Linked DNA regions of Notamacropus eugenii. The protein of the gene in region 1 purifies or fractionates together with the protein of each later gene. This does not show direct contact. Links are inferred from orthologs where the notes say so. Each region holds a gene or a part of one and is shown on either strand. Other genes may lie near its edges.

Region 1 (7,946 bases):
TATATCTCCTCATAAATCTAGGGTAGAGGATTCACCCAACATTCTGGGGACCTTCCTCTAGATCTCTTGATATTGCAGGGGTACAGAGGGAACACTCAGATTGTCCGTCAGTTATCCACCAACTTATGTGATTAGCCTATCCTTTTTTTTAAATGGGCACACACTTCTTGGATGGTCTCCTTTATGCTGTTTCTCCTGAGTCATTCTTGTTTATCATGTGCCTGCTTATTACGCCCATCCTGTTGTCTCCACTGACTCCTGCCTGAACCGTAGCTTCAGTTCGTCAGAGGCTGTAGCATTTTATGAGTCAAGCCATATAACGCCACTGGAAGAATATTGGTTTTAAAAAGATGAGTCTTTTGTTTCAGGGAGAATACTGAATTTATTTAGAGCCCTGCACATTTTCCCAAAGGTAGTCTAGCTTTTCTATTCATTTCTGGATCTAGCACAGTATGTAGCACCATTGGAGTAGGGCTGTGGTACTTTTCTCAAATAGTCACACACCTTTCCTATAATCCTCTAAATATTTAATAGATTGCTTTCAGCTGGGGAGGGGGATGACCTCTAATGACTCTTCCCTCCACTTCCTCTCCCCACCATCAGAATACCTTGCTTGACAGAATTATTTTTCATAATATCATTTAGAGTTGGACAGGATCATAGAGAACACTGGTTTACAACCCCTTTTACACATGAGAAAACTGAAGCCTAGAGAAGTTAAACCTCCACCTAGTATGTGGCAAAACTCAGGTCTGAGGTTAGATTTTCTGACTCAGTGCTCTTTCAAGATCACAAAACTGCCTTAACTCCACTTTATGGAGAAAACAGGGGTTAAGTGCAGGACTGGCTTATTGCATAGCTATCATGTGACAGACAGAATCTGAGCCCAGGTCTTCTAGTTCCTAGTCTCAGACTTTCCCCACCATATCATGCAGTCTTCAAAATGCCTAGTATAAAAATTTTACTCGAAATCACAGATGTTAAGGGCACTGTACTCGTTCCTCCCTCTAGCTCTGTTGCCCTAGTGCTGCTTAGAACAGGTGAGGACCACACAATAGCTATCCAGGATTTTCCAAATTACATTTCCTCTTCAGAAATGATTGGGACACATGCAGATCAAGCATAAAACAGCCATCATAACCGTTGGCTACGTAAATATAGTGTTCTCTATGGAAGCAGCCACCTCTAAGTCTAGATCTTAGCAACATGAACTCCACTCCTTGCATTTCTTTTATCCAAAAACAACGGGGGTGGAGGGGAATGGTTCTATCAAGAGTGGGGCTCAGTAGATGGAACGTTGCACTTGGAATCAGGCCTGAGTTCAAATCCTGTCTCATACTATTGGCACGACCCTGAGCAAAAAGTTTTTCTAAGCTTCATTTTGCGGATCAAGTGGATGTCACATTACCTGTAGTGCTTCAATCGTGAATCTCAAGTGACGTGTGTGAAGTCCCTCGTGAATCTCGATGCCACATCCCTCCAGCATCCTCATTCCCAGTAATTTACTGCCTTCCCTCATCTTCGCCTTCATCTAGGGGAAAAGTCTTTAATTTTCCTCTCATCCTCTTCTCTTCACCCAGCCACCTCATTCACCCTCTTACCATCTCTCCTGACTGTTTATGGCTCTTACCCTTCTAGCGCCTTCGTTTTGCTCCCTCAGTAATTTAGCTTTCTCTTCCCTCCCTTCCCCACCCTACCCCCACCGTCCTAACATAATGGAAGGAGCTGTCAAGACACTGAAATCGTAGGGTTATGGGTTTACGAGGGTGAGGAACTGCCCAGGTGGCTCACCAGCAGAACCCCGAAGAAGCGAGGTCCCGCCGGCACAGCCCGCGCTCAGACTTAGTTTTAGGAGTCCCTCCCCGCCCCACCCCGCGCCCCCCAGACATCAGGACCCGAGAGGCCAGGGTGGGAATGCTGTCTGACACGTGGACAGCGGACGCCTGGGTCTGTTTCCTCCAGCGTAAGCTAGGGTGCGAGGAGGCTGCACGAACTCGGCTGGAGCTGTTGCTGCGGGGCGCCAGGGCCAAGCGTGGCGCCCCCCTCCGAGCCAGGCTCCACGCTGGGAAGGGTCGCCACGCGGCCCGTGGAGCCGGCGGCCAAGAAAGGCTCGAACTCTGCCAGGAGAGGCGGCTGCTCCGGCCCTCTGCCCGCGCGTCCTCTCGGCTCGCTCCAGCCCAGAACCGAGTGACAAGTGGCCGCCCCGGCGGTCTCCCGGGCCATGTCGTCGGGTCATCTTCACTTCCGGCGATGGGCGGGGCGACAAGGCCGAGTCACTAGAGAAGCCACGGCGGTTGCTAGGGCCGCGGGAGGCGGGGATTCGCTGGACACACGCCCGGAAGCAATCGCTTGGTGGCTTCCTAGCGGGGGCGGGAGTAGCTGACGCCCAATCAGAGGGTGGGATCCACCATCGCTCCGCCCATCGCGGAAGTCGAGGGCTGAATGCTTTAAGAATCTGGGGGGGAAACCGAAGGACGGAAGTGACTGTTGGGCCGGCTGAGGTCGCTTTAAACTCCCTCTCCCCCCTCCCCTTCCCGGGCTCCGCGCGAGCGTCAATGGCGTTGGACGTGAAGTCACGAGCGAAGCGCTACGAGAAGCTCGACTTCCTCGGGGAGGGACAGGTGGGTACACTCGGGGCGTCCGCCGTCCGTGGCGTGGCGGCTCGGGAGCGGGTGGCCGGGGGGCCGGGCCGCCGGCTAGGCCCCCGTGTGTGCGGCCGCGGTCCTGCCGGCCCTTCCCCGTGCCCTCCCCTCCCCCTCCGCAGTGCGTGCAGAAAGTCACCGTGTGCCCTCTTCCCTTGCAGTTCGCCACGGTGTACAAAGCCCGGGACAAGAACACCGGCCAGATCGTCGCTATTAAAAAGGCGAGTTTCGCTCTCCCTCGTCTGTCTCTTCCTCCCAACGCGAGTGAAAAGGGGGGTTGTGGGGCGGAGGGGCGAGCCTGGCGGCCCCCCGGGATCCTGCACGGGAAGCGGCCTTCCTCAGGCCTTCCGCCCTCACCTCCTGGGCTCCCGGCTTCTTCCGAGGCCCGGCCCCGGTGTCCGGGCTGCCGCCTGCCTTCCCAGCCTTTCCTTTCTGCTTCCTTTTTGGAGCGGCGTGTTTACTTTGTATCTCTTTTGTATCTCTTGGTATGCTTTGTATCATACTGTATCCTGTAAGTACGAGGTCCAGCTTCACACGTACGCGTTTGTGTACGCTCGTCTGCAAACACATTTCACAGATGCTTTTATGGGAACGCGTTTCCCTTTCTGTGTATCTTCAGCCTGTCTGGCACAAAAGTAGACCTTTACTTTCAGGCTTGTTGATTGAGATGGAGTTGTATTCTTGAGGTTCCTCTCCAACGTAAATCGTGATTGTCAGCAGAATTAGTATAGCTTGGATTCAGCTGTCCCCTCCGACACACATGACTGCCTCTGTGACCGGGGCCAGTCATTTCGTGTGTCCGTGCTTGGGGCAGCTCTCTCAAACTACAAGTTCCAGAACAGTTGTGTTGGTAAAGGGAGCCCCCTACATTGACAAAATTATAAGTCCAGTTGAAATCCGATCGTTAACCAAAACCGCTTCCTGACAGGCTGTAGGCCTAGAGTGGTGATGTTTATGTTTATTTAGGGTGTGATGTGGAAACCTGTTTGTGATAATACAATTTTTTAAAATAAGCATAAAATCTTTTTACTTATTTTGATCCCTGAGCTGCAGATACTCCCAAACACTAAGCATTGCTCATCCCAGAGACGGTGGGACTCTATTTTCTGGTTTGGGTTTTTTTCCTCCCCCAAAATACTATTTTGAGTCTCTAAGTTTTGCTTTTGCAGCTATCCTGTTTTTTCCTTTAAACAACTCACTACTTTGATCCATTGTCCGTTGTCATGGAAATATTTTCCCTTATAACATATATAATTTTCACTTTGTTCGGCTTTCATGACATTAATAAAGTCAGCTGTCATTTAACAGAAGAGAATAAGTTTGAATCATATCTTAGTGCTCTGCTGTTTTTTTTTTTTTTCAGGTACAGTGGAAGGGGCACAGAAGACCTAGGTTTGAATAGTAGTTGTGTTATTGGGTACCTGTGTGACCTTGGGAAATTATTTAACTTTTTGGGGCTCCAGTTTCCTTATCTGTAAAGATAAGGAATTGGACTTTTGATGACCTTGGGGTCCTTTCCAACTTTAAATCTTCAATTCTACTTTCTAGCTACTTCTAGCCCTTCCTTTTCTCATTAGCACTTGTGTTTGTCCTTCATTCTGGAAGAGGACTATGACATCAAGATGATGACATGACTTGCAGTTGACTTTGATTTGAGTGAGGGAGGGCTGTACAAGGTCATCAGCCTCACTTCCTTCTCCTGAGCCATCTGGGTGCAGTAACCAGATATTATTCATCAGGATGACTGGAGATGACCCAGGATGCAATGTGAGACCTTGGCCATTTTAGGCTAAGGTCTTACACAATCTTACTTTGAGTGAGATACACCCATTCAATGAATAGACTTCTTTAAGTTACTCAAGGGATGACCCCTTTAATAAAAAAAAAAAAAAAAAAAAAATGGGAGGGGAAGACCCTCAGGGTTCCTGGGTAAAAGAGAAATAATTACTATTTAGTTATTACATCCACTCTGTGCTAGGTGGGTGGGGTCTTGTCCATTCTATGAGATCCAGCGTGAATTGGGTTAAAGGCTTGATCTTTGAGCAAGAAATCTAGCCAGTAAACCCAAAGGAAAAAAGGCAGCTTTTGTCCATGGAGTTTACCTCCCCCTGAGCAGAACACCAGAGGAGAGGAGAGGAAACTACCTGAGAGAGAATGGCTGCCCAGTCGGAGGGCTGGATGCCCCTTGAGAGAGAGGTTCTAGTCCCTACCTTTTGCCTTTATGCAGGACCACACCTTTACTTGTAGCAATAAAATATCCTATAAGAATTATTTGCTTCATAGTTTAAAATTTTAAATTTTCTTCACCAATCTAAATTCCTCAGATTAAGCTGTAAAATGTCTCAGATGGAAGGAGGTAGCATGGCACAGTAGAACACTAAGAGCTAGAAAACCTGACTTCTTAGTCTTCCCTAAGCTAGCTGGAAGCTTGGGAGAAGTAACTTACTTTCTCTCTAATTTTTTGTGTCCAAAATGAGATGGAACTAGGTGGTTGCTGAGGTACATTCTGGGTTCTAAAACTCTCCCACCATCCCTTCTAGTCACCCAGGCTTGCAATCGTAATTGACCAGTCACACTTTCTCTTAAACCCAGCCCCCAAATCCAGTCAATTGCCTGGGGCTGTTAATTTCACCTCCACGAGATTCTTGCAGTTGTAGCCTTCTCTTCCCCACTCGAACTCTAGACTTTATCAACTTTCTCCTGAGTTATTAATAAAAATGGCAAGAAGTTCTCCTAATTGGTCTCCCTCATTTCAGACTTTCCCCTCTCCAACCTTCTTCCTCATAGCTCCCAAAACAATCTTAAAGCAGAGGTCTGACCCTGTTGAAGCTTTAGTCCAAGGTGGGGGACCTTCTGCCTCAAGGCCATATGTAGCACTCTAGGTCCTTGTGTTCAGCCTTTTGAATCCAAATTTCACAGAACAAATACCCTTCATAAAAGGATTGGTTCTGTAAAACCTGGACTCGGTCAAAAGGCCACTCTCTCCAAGGACCTTAAAGGCCACAAGTTCCCTATTCCTGCCTTAGTCCCTCTCTTTAACCTCTAGCACACAATTTATACTCCTCAGTTTGACATTTGAAATCTGTCTTAGTGTGGCTTCAACCACCTTTTTTGCCTTTTCTGAGCCAAACAAGGTTACTTGCAGTTCCCCAAGTTTAATATTTTGTCTCCTGTCTCAGTGCCTCTGGCTAGCCTGCACAGCTGAACTGATCTTTATCCTAAACCCTACCTCTTAGAATGTCTAGCTTCCTTCAAGGGTCAGCTCAGTTGCTACTGCCCACAAAAAACTTTTCCTTCTCAGATTATCTTTTATTTACTCTATATCCCCCAGAAGGGTATAACTTCCTTGAGAGTATAAAATATTTATGTCTATATTGGTGCCCTCTGAATAGTTCATCAGGCTGAATGATTTAAATTAATTTTGGAGTTTTGATGATCTGCAATCTTAACTGCCTACTTACATAAAAAACCAAAGAGTTCAGCTCACAGACAGGGGTGTGCTGGAGCCAGAGAACAAATTATTAAATTTTTACTGTTATCATTTACACATTGAAAATCAGTAAATATTACAAAGAGCTTGATGTAATATTTTCTTGATTGTCTAGACTTGAAAAGTGATGAATAAAATGTTAATAACATAGATTAAAATTAAAACTGTGTCATGCATACAAGCTGGTTGTGTGTGTGTGTGTGTGTGTGTGTGTGTGTTTCCCAGAGGTCAGGTTATTAAACATTTACCAGCATATCCCCAGCATAGGATCCTAAAATTGAAATGAACTTTCTTCAGGCCATCATCTGACTTTCTACCGGATGCAGAAATCACTTTTCTATAAAAGGCATCCATTGTCTATTTGAACACTTCTAGCAAAGGGAAGCTTATTTGACAGCTCTCTCCCCTTGTTACTACGGAGGCATCCAGGTAGTACAGTGGATAGTGCAGGTCTTAAAGTCAGGAACCTCTGTTGGAATCATGTCTCCAACAGTTATTAGCCTTATGATCCTGGGCAGCTAATTCACTTAACTTCTCAGCCTCAGTTTCCTCATCTTTAATATAAGGATGTTGAATTCAGTATCCCCTGGGGTCCCTTCCAGTTCCAAATTTATGATCTTATTATAAAGCAGTTTTATTCAGTTTTTGATGACATTATTATATTTAAGCCAAAACATGCCTCTTTACTTCTTTAAACTGGTTTTCTTACAGCATTGTTTCCAGATCTTTTGCCATCTTGGTTGCACTATAGTGTGTGTCTTAAAATAATGATATGCATAAGGCTGCATTTTGTATTCTATGAAATATCTGACAGCACAGATCACACTGAGATTTATTCAGGTGCTTTGTATCAGAGTCATATCTAGGGTAGAACAACAAGGGCTTTGTCCCAGGGAACTGAATTTGCATTTACAAGGTAAAATTTCAGTACTTAAACAATATAGAAACATCTGAATTTAGCAACTTTTTAGGAAGAAGAATTAGTCAAACAAGAAGCTATCAAATGGAGAGAGAGAGAGGGGAAGTCAGGATAAGGATCCAGGATTCCTTTTATTTCCATGGAGAAATTGCCTTGCTTTCCCCCAACCCAGCTGAAGGTATATCCCATTCCACTTGTTCCAATTACAGTTTGTCATGATTGCCCTAAGCCCCAAAATAACTAGTTTTAGCTCTGAGCTGTATAGTGCTTCTAAAAATTCAGCCTAAGATTGCATTCATTTTTTTTTTTAGTAACTTGTTGGTTTATACGGAATTTGTCCCATCTTGGAAGATCGTTTTCCCCTTCCCTTTTTACTCCCTTTCTTCCTTGTCCCCTTCCCAAATACACGTTTTGGTCTTTTGCAGGTGAACTTTTAAGGCAGGTGCCCCCTCTGGCCTTTACTTGTTCTAGGTATCTTCTTCAACCTTAAATGAAGGTCTTTGTTGTTGCTAAGTTTCCTCTTCAGAGGATGCTTGACATAAGAGAACCAGCCTTGGAGCTGGCAAAATCAGGCCTTTGACACGTACTGTGTCAAATTGACAAGACTCTCAATTGAAGAGTTATTGATAAGGGTCAAATCAGAACCCAGCCCCTCCCCCTCAATTCATCTTGTTGATTTCAGCCTGTTCCAACCTAGCAGGCTTTTTGTGAAGCTGTTTCATGGTTTGTAATAATAATTCTCTATCTCAGATTGGTATCACCTGCAAATTCTATGAACATGTCTTCCTCAGGTCCACATTTTTTGATGAAATTTTGATTCTTCTGTTTGATGTGTCAGCTATTCTCCAAACACAAGCTCTACTTTCTAACCTTTGATGCTTAGTAATGATATGAT
Region 2 (7,946 bases), on another chromosome or scaffold:
TAAAATCACACTTCATGGGAAAAAGATGAATGCTGAAAGCTGTTTCTCAGGGTTGTTTTTTTTAAATAGTCAATAACTCATCTAGGCCAACAAATGATTTTTCAACCCTTAGAAGTTTTGGATCATTTCAGTTTTTAATGACCCCTCTTAGCTTTCTTTTCTGATTTATTAGGCTCAGTGCAGAACCTGCTTTTCTTTTCTCTCCACACTCCTTCACTGGAAGACCTAATCAGCTCCCATGGGCTCCATTACCATCTCTATGCAGGTGCCATTCAACCACACTAGACATTTCAAACTGAATGCCCATAGGCATCTCAAATTCAACATACCCAAAACAAAATTCATTCTTTCTCTCTTTTTCTCTCAATCCACCTCTCTTACAAACTGCCCTATTATTGTTAAGGGTACAACCAGTCATCTAGTCACCTAGGTTCAAGACCACAGTGTCATCTTCAACTCACTTTCAATTATCCCATCTCTCCAAATCAGTAGCCAAAACTTATCACCTCTGTCTCCGCAAGGCTCCTATACATCCTTCCTTCTCTCCCTTCACACCTCCATCCCCACTCCCACCCCTCCATTCAAGTTCCCTATCACCTCTTACCTAATTTGTTATCCTTACTTCAAATCTTTCCCTAATTCAATCTCTCCTCCACACACCCATCAAAATAATTTTCTAAAGGACAGGTATGACAATGTCACCCCACATTCCCTTACTCAATAAGTTCCAGCAGTTCCCTATTATCTCCAGGATCAAATATCAATTCCTCTGGCATTCATATCTCTTCACAACCTTCTGTCCTTCCAATCTTTTATGTGTTAATCCCCTGCTTGCACTCTTATCCAGACATACTGGCCTACCTGCTGTTCTGCACACAAGGTGTTCCACCTTTCATCTTCATTTCCCTTCTTTGTGGCTTCGAATAAAAAGGTGAGTTGTCCTCTGTACCTCGTATGAACTCCCTCCTCACCTCAACTCAAATGTTACCTTAACCATGAAGCCTTTTCCTGATCCTTCCAGCTGGTAGAAACTTCCTTCCCTTCTATTCATTTTGTGTATATATATATACAAACATATATGTATATGCTTATATATGGACATGTCTCCTCCATTAAAACATACATTCTTTGAGGGCTGGGACTGTTTCAAATTTGTCTGTGCATCCCCAACCTTTAGCACAGTGCCTGGCACACGGTAGGGACGGTTTAGTGAATGACTGACAGGTTAAGTGACTTGCCTTGGGTCACCACAGCTTAAATATTTGCATTAGAGATAACTCATGACCTGGGAAAAAAGAGAGACTGAGAAAGAGACAGAGAGAAGGAGGGAGATAGAAAAAGAAAGGGGAAGAAAAGAAAGAGAGAAGAGACAGACAAGCGAGAGAGGGGAGGGAAAGACAGAGGAACGGAGGAAGAGGAGACAGAAAGAGACATGGAGAAAATAGAGAAAGAGACAGAGAGAGACAGAGGAGGGAGAGACAGGCAAGAAAGGGAAAAAAACAGAGACAGACTGGACGCGAGTGGAAGGGGAGAGATAGACAAGACAATCATAAACAGACAGCCAAAAGACAGAGAGCCCAGGAAGGTGAAGAGAAAGGAGAGAGAGAACAGAGACAGGAGAGATGAAAGACAGGAAACAGAGAAGGGGGAGAGACAGACAAGGGACAGGAAAAGAGAGATAAGACAGAGAGAGGGTGGATCGCAGTAAAGTGTGAGGGAGGACATCAAATTGCACAGCAATAAGAAGTGAGAGGGAGGCGAGAACATTGGTGCAGCCAGGGCAGACAGCTGTCTTCCAGAAGCCTGGCTGTAAGAGGGAGCTGTACAGACGGAAGACGCAGAGGGGAAGGCACCCACCACCCACCTCCAAAGGAAGCAAAGGGAAGCAGGAAGAGGCGCACGCGCACTCACGAGCCAGGGCCCAGCTGAGCACGCCACGCCCCCCGCCTAAGCAGTCAGTCGGTTAAGGGCAAGGCAGGACAGCGCCGGGCACAGCCGGGCAAGGCCAGGGTCAGCCTCAGAGAAGCAGTAGGGTGGCCCGCGCAGCTTCTCAAACGGGGGTGCTCCCGTGGCTCCGCTCCATCCCGCCCCAACGTATCCGGCTCCGAGCCTCCCCAGCCCCCGGAGGAGTCACAACTGACGCACTCCTCGTCCCTCCCCCGCTTCCTTCCCACCTACCTGGCTGCTGCGGGCGGATCGTTCCCGCCCACAGCCGAACTGGATCTGGTGGGGGGGGGGAAGGAAAGGAGGAGGATAAGGGAAAAGACCCACCCCGATCCGCTCCCGGGCCCCGGCGCCCAAGAGCCTCTGCCACTGGCGCGGGCACGTGACCCCGCCCTCCGTTCCTCCCACGGGTGTAGCCCCGCCCCCTCTGCGTAACCTCACCGACCCGACGCAGAAACCTACAGCGCAGGCGCACTCCGCTGATAATTCCGGCGAGCTGCAGCTGGGACCTGGCTGGTCGGAGGTGCGTCGCTGTTGTTAGGGATTGGTAGGTGGTGTAGCTTCCGGACTCGAAGGTGAGAGGAGTACGCCTGGAGTGGCCGAGGGATAGCTAGGCCCAGGGTTAGCCACCCCTTCCTCTCCCTGCCGTGCTGCCTTCCTCAGGGGCTGCGGAGCGAAGGCACGGCCTTGCCCCCCCTCCCCCAGCCCGCGGAGGATCTGGAGTCCTCGGCGTGTTGGGTGCCCAGAGCAGGACCCGGGAATGTGAATAATAATAGTAATTTACTAAGAGCCGATTTTTACGTAGCTCTTTAAGGTTTGTCAAGCCCTTTACGTAACAACGCTTTTCATTTGTTGTCTCACTTCAAGCAGCCTTCTCAGGCTGCCGTGAACCCTTCCCCCATCCCCTTTTATTGTGACTTAGATTGATTGCATCTCGGCCTGGACTGTCTATCTATTACCGGTCCCAAGCTCGGACCCTAAAACACATCCAGGTCCTCATCCCCGGGTTTCTGTAGGCGTCCAAGTGCCAGCAAATACTGGGTTGGATGTGGTCCTGGATTATTTTTTTTTAAAAAGCTAGAATACCCAACTATCCCTAATAGTTAATTTTTTTTCCTATTCACTATGTCCCAGCCTTTACTAGAATGAGTATTTAGAATTTTGTTGTATTCCATATATTTAATGTGTGCAATTTGGTGAACAAAATTACACTTGATGATAGGTTAAATTTTAAGGGAAAGTCAATGATGACAACTGAGCTATATTTTCTTTGTAAATATGCTTTATCGTCTTTGAATCAGAAGTGTTGAAAATGACTTTTGTGGGTTTATGTAGTAATATCATCATTTTCATTATCCTTATGTTTCTTTTAGTGAAATGTTAAAATTGATTATTGATTGATTTTTTTTTTAAATTTTAGTTCACTTCGTCCCTTTTGTTGACATCATTGACAGCATTTGACACTTGTAACTTGGAGAAAATGGTGAATGTCTTGAAAGGCGTACTTATAGAATGGTTAGTACTTTTTCACTTATGAGTGTTGATTTTCTCACTTACTTTTTTTTGTTCCTACGAAGCCCATTAGTTTCCTCATTTATAAAATTAGATGATCTGACTCAGTGATAATCTAAGGCCACCTCCTGCTCCTTGAGATTTTATGATTCTAAGTCCCAGTGAAGCTTTTCCTGATTATTCCAGGCCTTTTTGGTTTTCCTTTTCCTTTGAACCACCATTGAACTTAGATGTTCTACCCTCTGGTTTGGTACTTAGAATCACACATTCTTAGAGGATGTAGGACTACCAGTTGACACTTTTCCTTCTCCTCTGCTAACTTCTGACTCTTTGAGGAACTGTGCTCTATAGTTCTCTCCACTTAACAGCAACCACCAAGTTCAAGGCACTGTGGGGACACTGGTGTACATTAAGTAGTTCAAAGCAAAATAGAGTAGCCTCATGATTGACTGATGTTAGTTTACATAGAGAAATAAAAGATACAATTGGATGTCTTTTTTTAACTTGGGCTATTTATACCTCTTTTTGGAGTGTCTTGCAAGTTTATGTTGATGCGTGGGTAATTGACCTGATTATATATTCAGTAAGTCATAATTCACATTACATGTGGGGATGTTCTCTAATCAACTTGATGCATTTTACAGGATGTTGAGAGTCTTGAATTTGGATTGTGCCTTTCTCTGAAGAGCATAGACACTTCCCTGTATATTCTTTAGGTCTCTTTTTAAAGACTAGTGATTGTTTCATGGGTTGAGGATAAATACAGGCTTTGTTTTTTAAACAGCAGTGGAGATTAATTGTTTGGCACTAGAATGTTTCTAGTGGTGTCACTACCCTAGAACACTACCACTATAGCTATTCATTCTCTTCTCTGTAAATGGGAGTAGTAGTTGTTTCAGTTTTCTTTCTCTTACTTCCCATTTGGGATTTTCTTGGCAAAGATACTGGAGTGGTTTGTCATTTTCCTCCTCTAGCTCATTTTACAGATGAGGAAACTGAGTTAAGTGATTTGCTCAGGGTCACACAGCTACTAAGTGTCCGAGGCAGAATTTGAACTCAAGAAGATGAGTCTTCCCAACTTCAGGCCCATCACTCTATCCACTGTGGCATCTAGTTATCCCTAAATGGCAGTAGATGTTTTAAATGCTATTGAATATGCTAGCCTACCTTCTGGAAGATATGATAAAAGTTCTAAACAAAAGCTCATCATACCTTAAAATTCATCAAATGAACTTAAATAGAGTTTTAAGTTTTAAAAAGTTCTCTTCTTACAACAGCCTGTTAGGGCAGGCATTTCAGCTACTACCCCATTTTACAAAAGAGGAAATTAACTTGCCCAAGGGTACACAGCTAGTAAATATTAGAAGTAGGATTTGAACCCACATCTTCTTGATTAGTGGTCTTTCAGTTGTACTGTTTGCCCTTGAATGGAAGCTTTAAAAAAAAAAAAAAGATACAAGTGGCACAGACGTAACATATTAATGCAGATATCTTGATTATGCAAATACTTTACTCAACTTATTTCTCAGAAGCAAAGAACACTATTCAATTCAAAGTATTCAAGTAACTTTCTGAGGTGAGAAATAGAAAATGCTGGACAGTTAAAGGATCCCAATATTTTCTTAAAGGTTGAGAGATCAGCAATACATTGAGAAAATTATGAAAGGAGCTTCTCTGTGCCTACACACTTTCTAGTTTTAGCTTTTTTGGTGTAGTTGCTCTAGATGATCATCTCGGAAAAAAGGCTTATACTTCCTGTGTACACATCCTCATCAGCACCCACTACAGTCTAGTTCCCATCATTCAACAAAAACTTTAATCCTCACCACTCTACTGAAACTGTTCTCCCCAGAGCCACCAGTAAGTTCCCAGTTGATAAATCCAATAGTTGTTTCTTAATCCTCATCCTTGACCTTTCTACAGCATTTGACAAGGCTCATCACCCCCATCCTTCTTGATATTATTATCCCTCTTGACTCCTTTGATACTGTTTTGTCCTGCTTTTTCTCCTACCTTTTTGGGTTTTCCTTTTGTCTCTTTCCCTGGGTGTTCTTCTCACCTGGCAATATGAATTTCTCCTAATGTTATGTCATTTCTCCTCTTCTAACCTTGTATTCTATTCCTGTTGGTACTTATTTCTGTGACTTCAGTTACTATCCCAGATGACTTTCAGTTGTTTCCAGCTGCAACCCTGCATTTCAAACTGCTCTCTGTACGTATCCACTGGTGTGCTGTGCTCAACTCAACAGCATGCCTCAACTGACCTCATTTTAGTCCTCTTTCCTTTCCTAAGTTTCCTTTTTCTGTTTATCCTCCTATCAGTCATTTAAGCCCTTAACTTCGGAGTCATCTGTGTTTTCATTCTGTCATTCCCCATTATCTAGTCAGTTGCCAAGTCCTATTAATTCTATTTCTACAACATTTCACATCCATCCCTTTTTCTTTTCTACCAACTCCTATTCTCACCTGGAATATTGTGGCCCCTTCCAACTGGTCTCCCTGTCTCCAGTTTCTCCCCTCCATTCCATCCTTCATCCTACTGGGAAATCAATCTTCCTAATGCATAGATCAGATCTTGTCACTCCTTTGCTCAAAAAATCTTCACTGATTACATCTTACCTGTGGAATAAAATGCAAATACCTTTACTTGGCATCTCCATAACTAGATTTTATCCTGGCTTTCTAGTCTTTTTTTTGCACACTATATCTCTTCATAAATTTTACATTCTGCCCATATTGGAGTCCTTGTTTCTTGGGCTTTGCTTACTCTGTTCAACCTCTGTTGAATACTCACTTTTGAAACCTGGAATGAACTTTAGCTCCACAGATTAAAATCCTTTTCAAAACAAAGATCAGGTGCCACCTCCAGGCTGCATTCCTTGGTTTTTTCTTCCCTAATGCTAGACGATTCCTTCACCACAAATTTCTCGTACTCTTTTAACTATCATATGTGTGTGTGTGTGTGTGTGTGTGTGTGTGTGTGTATCTCCTATATATATGTATATATCCTATATACTTCTAAATATTTCTGTTCTGACATAGTGTCGCATTGTGTATGTCTTCTCCATGTACACATTTGAGAACAGGGAGTGTTTTTTTTTTTTCCATTTGTGTATCGCCCAGTATTATTGCAGTGCCACACTGGGCACATGATAAAAGTTTATTGAGTTGAATTTGCTCAGATGAGAAAATGTATCGATAAGAGCCCACATGCCCAATTAATTCCAAGCACTAATGTACTTTGGTGAATCTGTTATTATTGAGGCTAAAAAATAATATCTGTGAAAATACATTTTAATAGTTAAAAAGAATACAATGTATATATGTAATGTTACCAGAGCTACCAACATGTTATACTAGTTTGCATTTTGATATTTTTTTTGTATTCTCAGTTTGTCCTCAACCCTATGCCTAGTTTTTTTTATCATAGATTTAGAACTACACTTTACCAATCCCTCAAGATGCTGACATAGTATCTCATGCTGTGTTGCCAAGTTCACCTGAGGCTTTGTAAGTTCTAAGTGCCTTTTTAAAAAAAATTTCGAAAACTATTTTGAGAACTGAGAAAAATTATAAGAGTGGAAGAATGTGCACCAAGGTTAAAACCCCAGGAGAATAAAACTGAGGCTTTTCAACATCTTTTGAGAGATAGGAATTGATAGGAAGAGACAAATAAAAGAACAACTAAGTTTCAAAGCCCTAAACATAGACTTTTCTTCTGTAACTGTCCCTAGCTGAGAATCTCATTTGGATTCTTACTGTTTCCTACCATCTCCCCATTACCCATCATGTGCCCCCTTTTTTTCTTTATATCCCTTCTTTTAAAGCAAAGGCAGGAAGAGTTTTTGACTCAGATTTTTCTCTAATTGGGTGAAGGCAAATAAATGGAATAATATTAGATAAACTTGAAATATGTCCTCGCTACTTATGTTCCTCCCTACAAAACTGTCTAGCAACTACGTTGTTAAACCTGTTCCCTTGACTTAAGCATTATTTCCACTTGGAGTATTAGAAATACATGTCTCAATCAATATTCCAAGTCCCCTTTTGTTGAGTGTGCTTCGTAAATTACATAGCTTAACTCACCTAGTTTTGTTTTTTATGAATTGTATTTTGTGCTCAGTACTAGCACCTTTTATTCAGACTTACTTGTTTTCAGCAATGGATTTTCATTCTACTTTCCTCTTGCCAAAATTTGCAATTTCAGGAACTGAAAAGTGAAATCTTCTAAGTAGCACAGTGTTTCAAATAAGAACAATAGCTGGTTATATTTTTATAGTTCCCACCACTTGTGACCTTGACAATTTGGGGTTAATACAATTAAAAGTATCATTTGTTTTAAACGAAATGTTTAGTGAATAGTACTGTCTAGTTACATAGTAAAATAAATTATCTAGTGAGCTTCCCCTGTGCTGAGAGATGTTGTAGAAAGAATTCTTAAAAGGGATTGAACTTTAAGGTTGCTCTTCCAGTGCTCAGTTTCTGTATCT

The links.
Region 2: the proteins of CDK7 (region 1) and GTF2H5 purify together in Homo sapiens (affinity purification with mass spectrometry; 7 studies listed by BioGRID and IntAct, with this or other methods). This does not show direct contact. The link is inferred for Notamacropus eugenii from reciprocal best matches to the Homo sapiens genes CDK7 and GTF2H5.

What each region holds. Positions count from the first base shown.
Region 1 is NC_092875.1:474,387,992-474,395,937, reverse strand, and holds the start of CDK7 (cyclin-dependent kinase 7), read left to right. Parts: upstream 1-2,555; coding exon 2,556-2,621; intron 2,622-2,629; coding exon of another isoform or gene 2,630-2,803; coding exon 2,804-2,863; intron 2,864-2,940; coding exon of another isoform or gene 2,941-3,200; intron 3,201-7,946. Other genes in the region: uncharacterized protein, read right to left, coding at 1,889-2,587, 2,630-2,852, 2,941-3,200. UniProt on the Homo sapiens protein: Serine/threonine kinase involved in cell cycle control and in RNA polymerase II-mediated RNA transcription. Cyclin-dependent kinases (CDKs) are activated by the binding to a cyclin and mediate the progression through the cell cycle.
Region 2 is NC_092873.1:251,846,085-251,854,030, forward strand, and holds the start of GTF2H5 (general transcription factor IIH subunit 5), read left to right. Parts: upstream 1-2,331; 5' UTR 2,332-2,467; exon of another isoform or gene 2,468-2,519; intron 2,520-3,364; 5' UTR 3,365-3,424; coding exon 3,425-3,459; intron 3,460-7,946. UniProt on the Homo sapiens protein: Component of the general transcription and DNA repair factor IIH (TFIIH) core complex, which is involved in general and transcription-coupled nucleotide excision repair (NER) of damaged DNA and, when complexed to CAK, in RNA transcription by RNA polymerase II.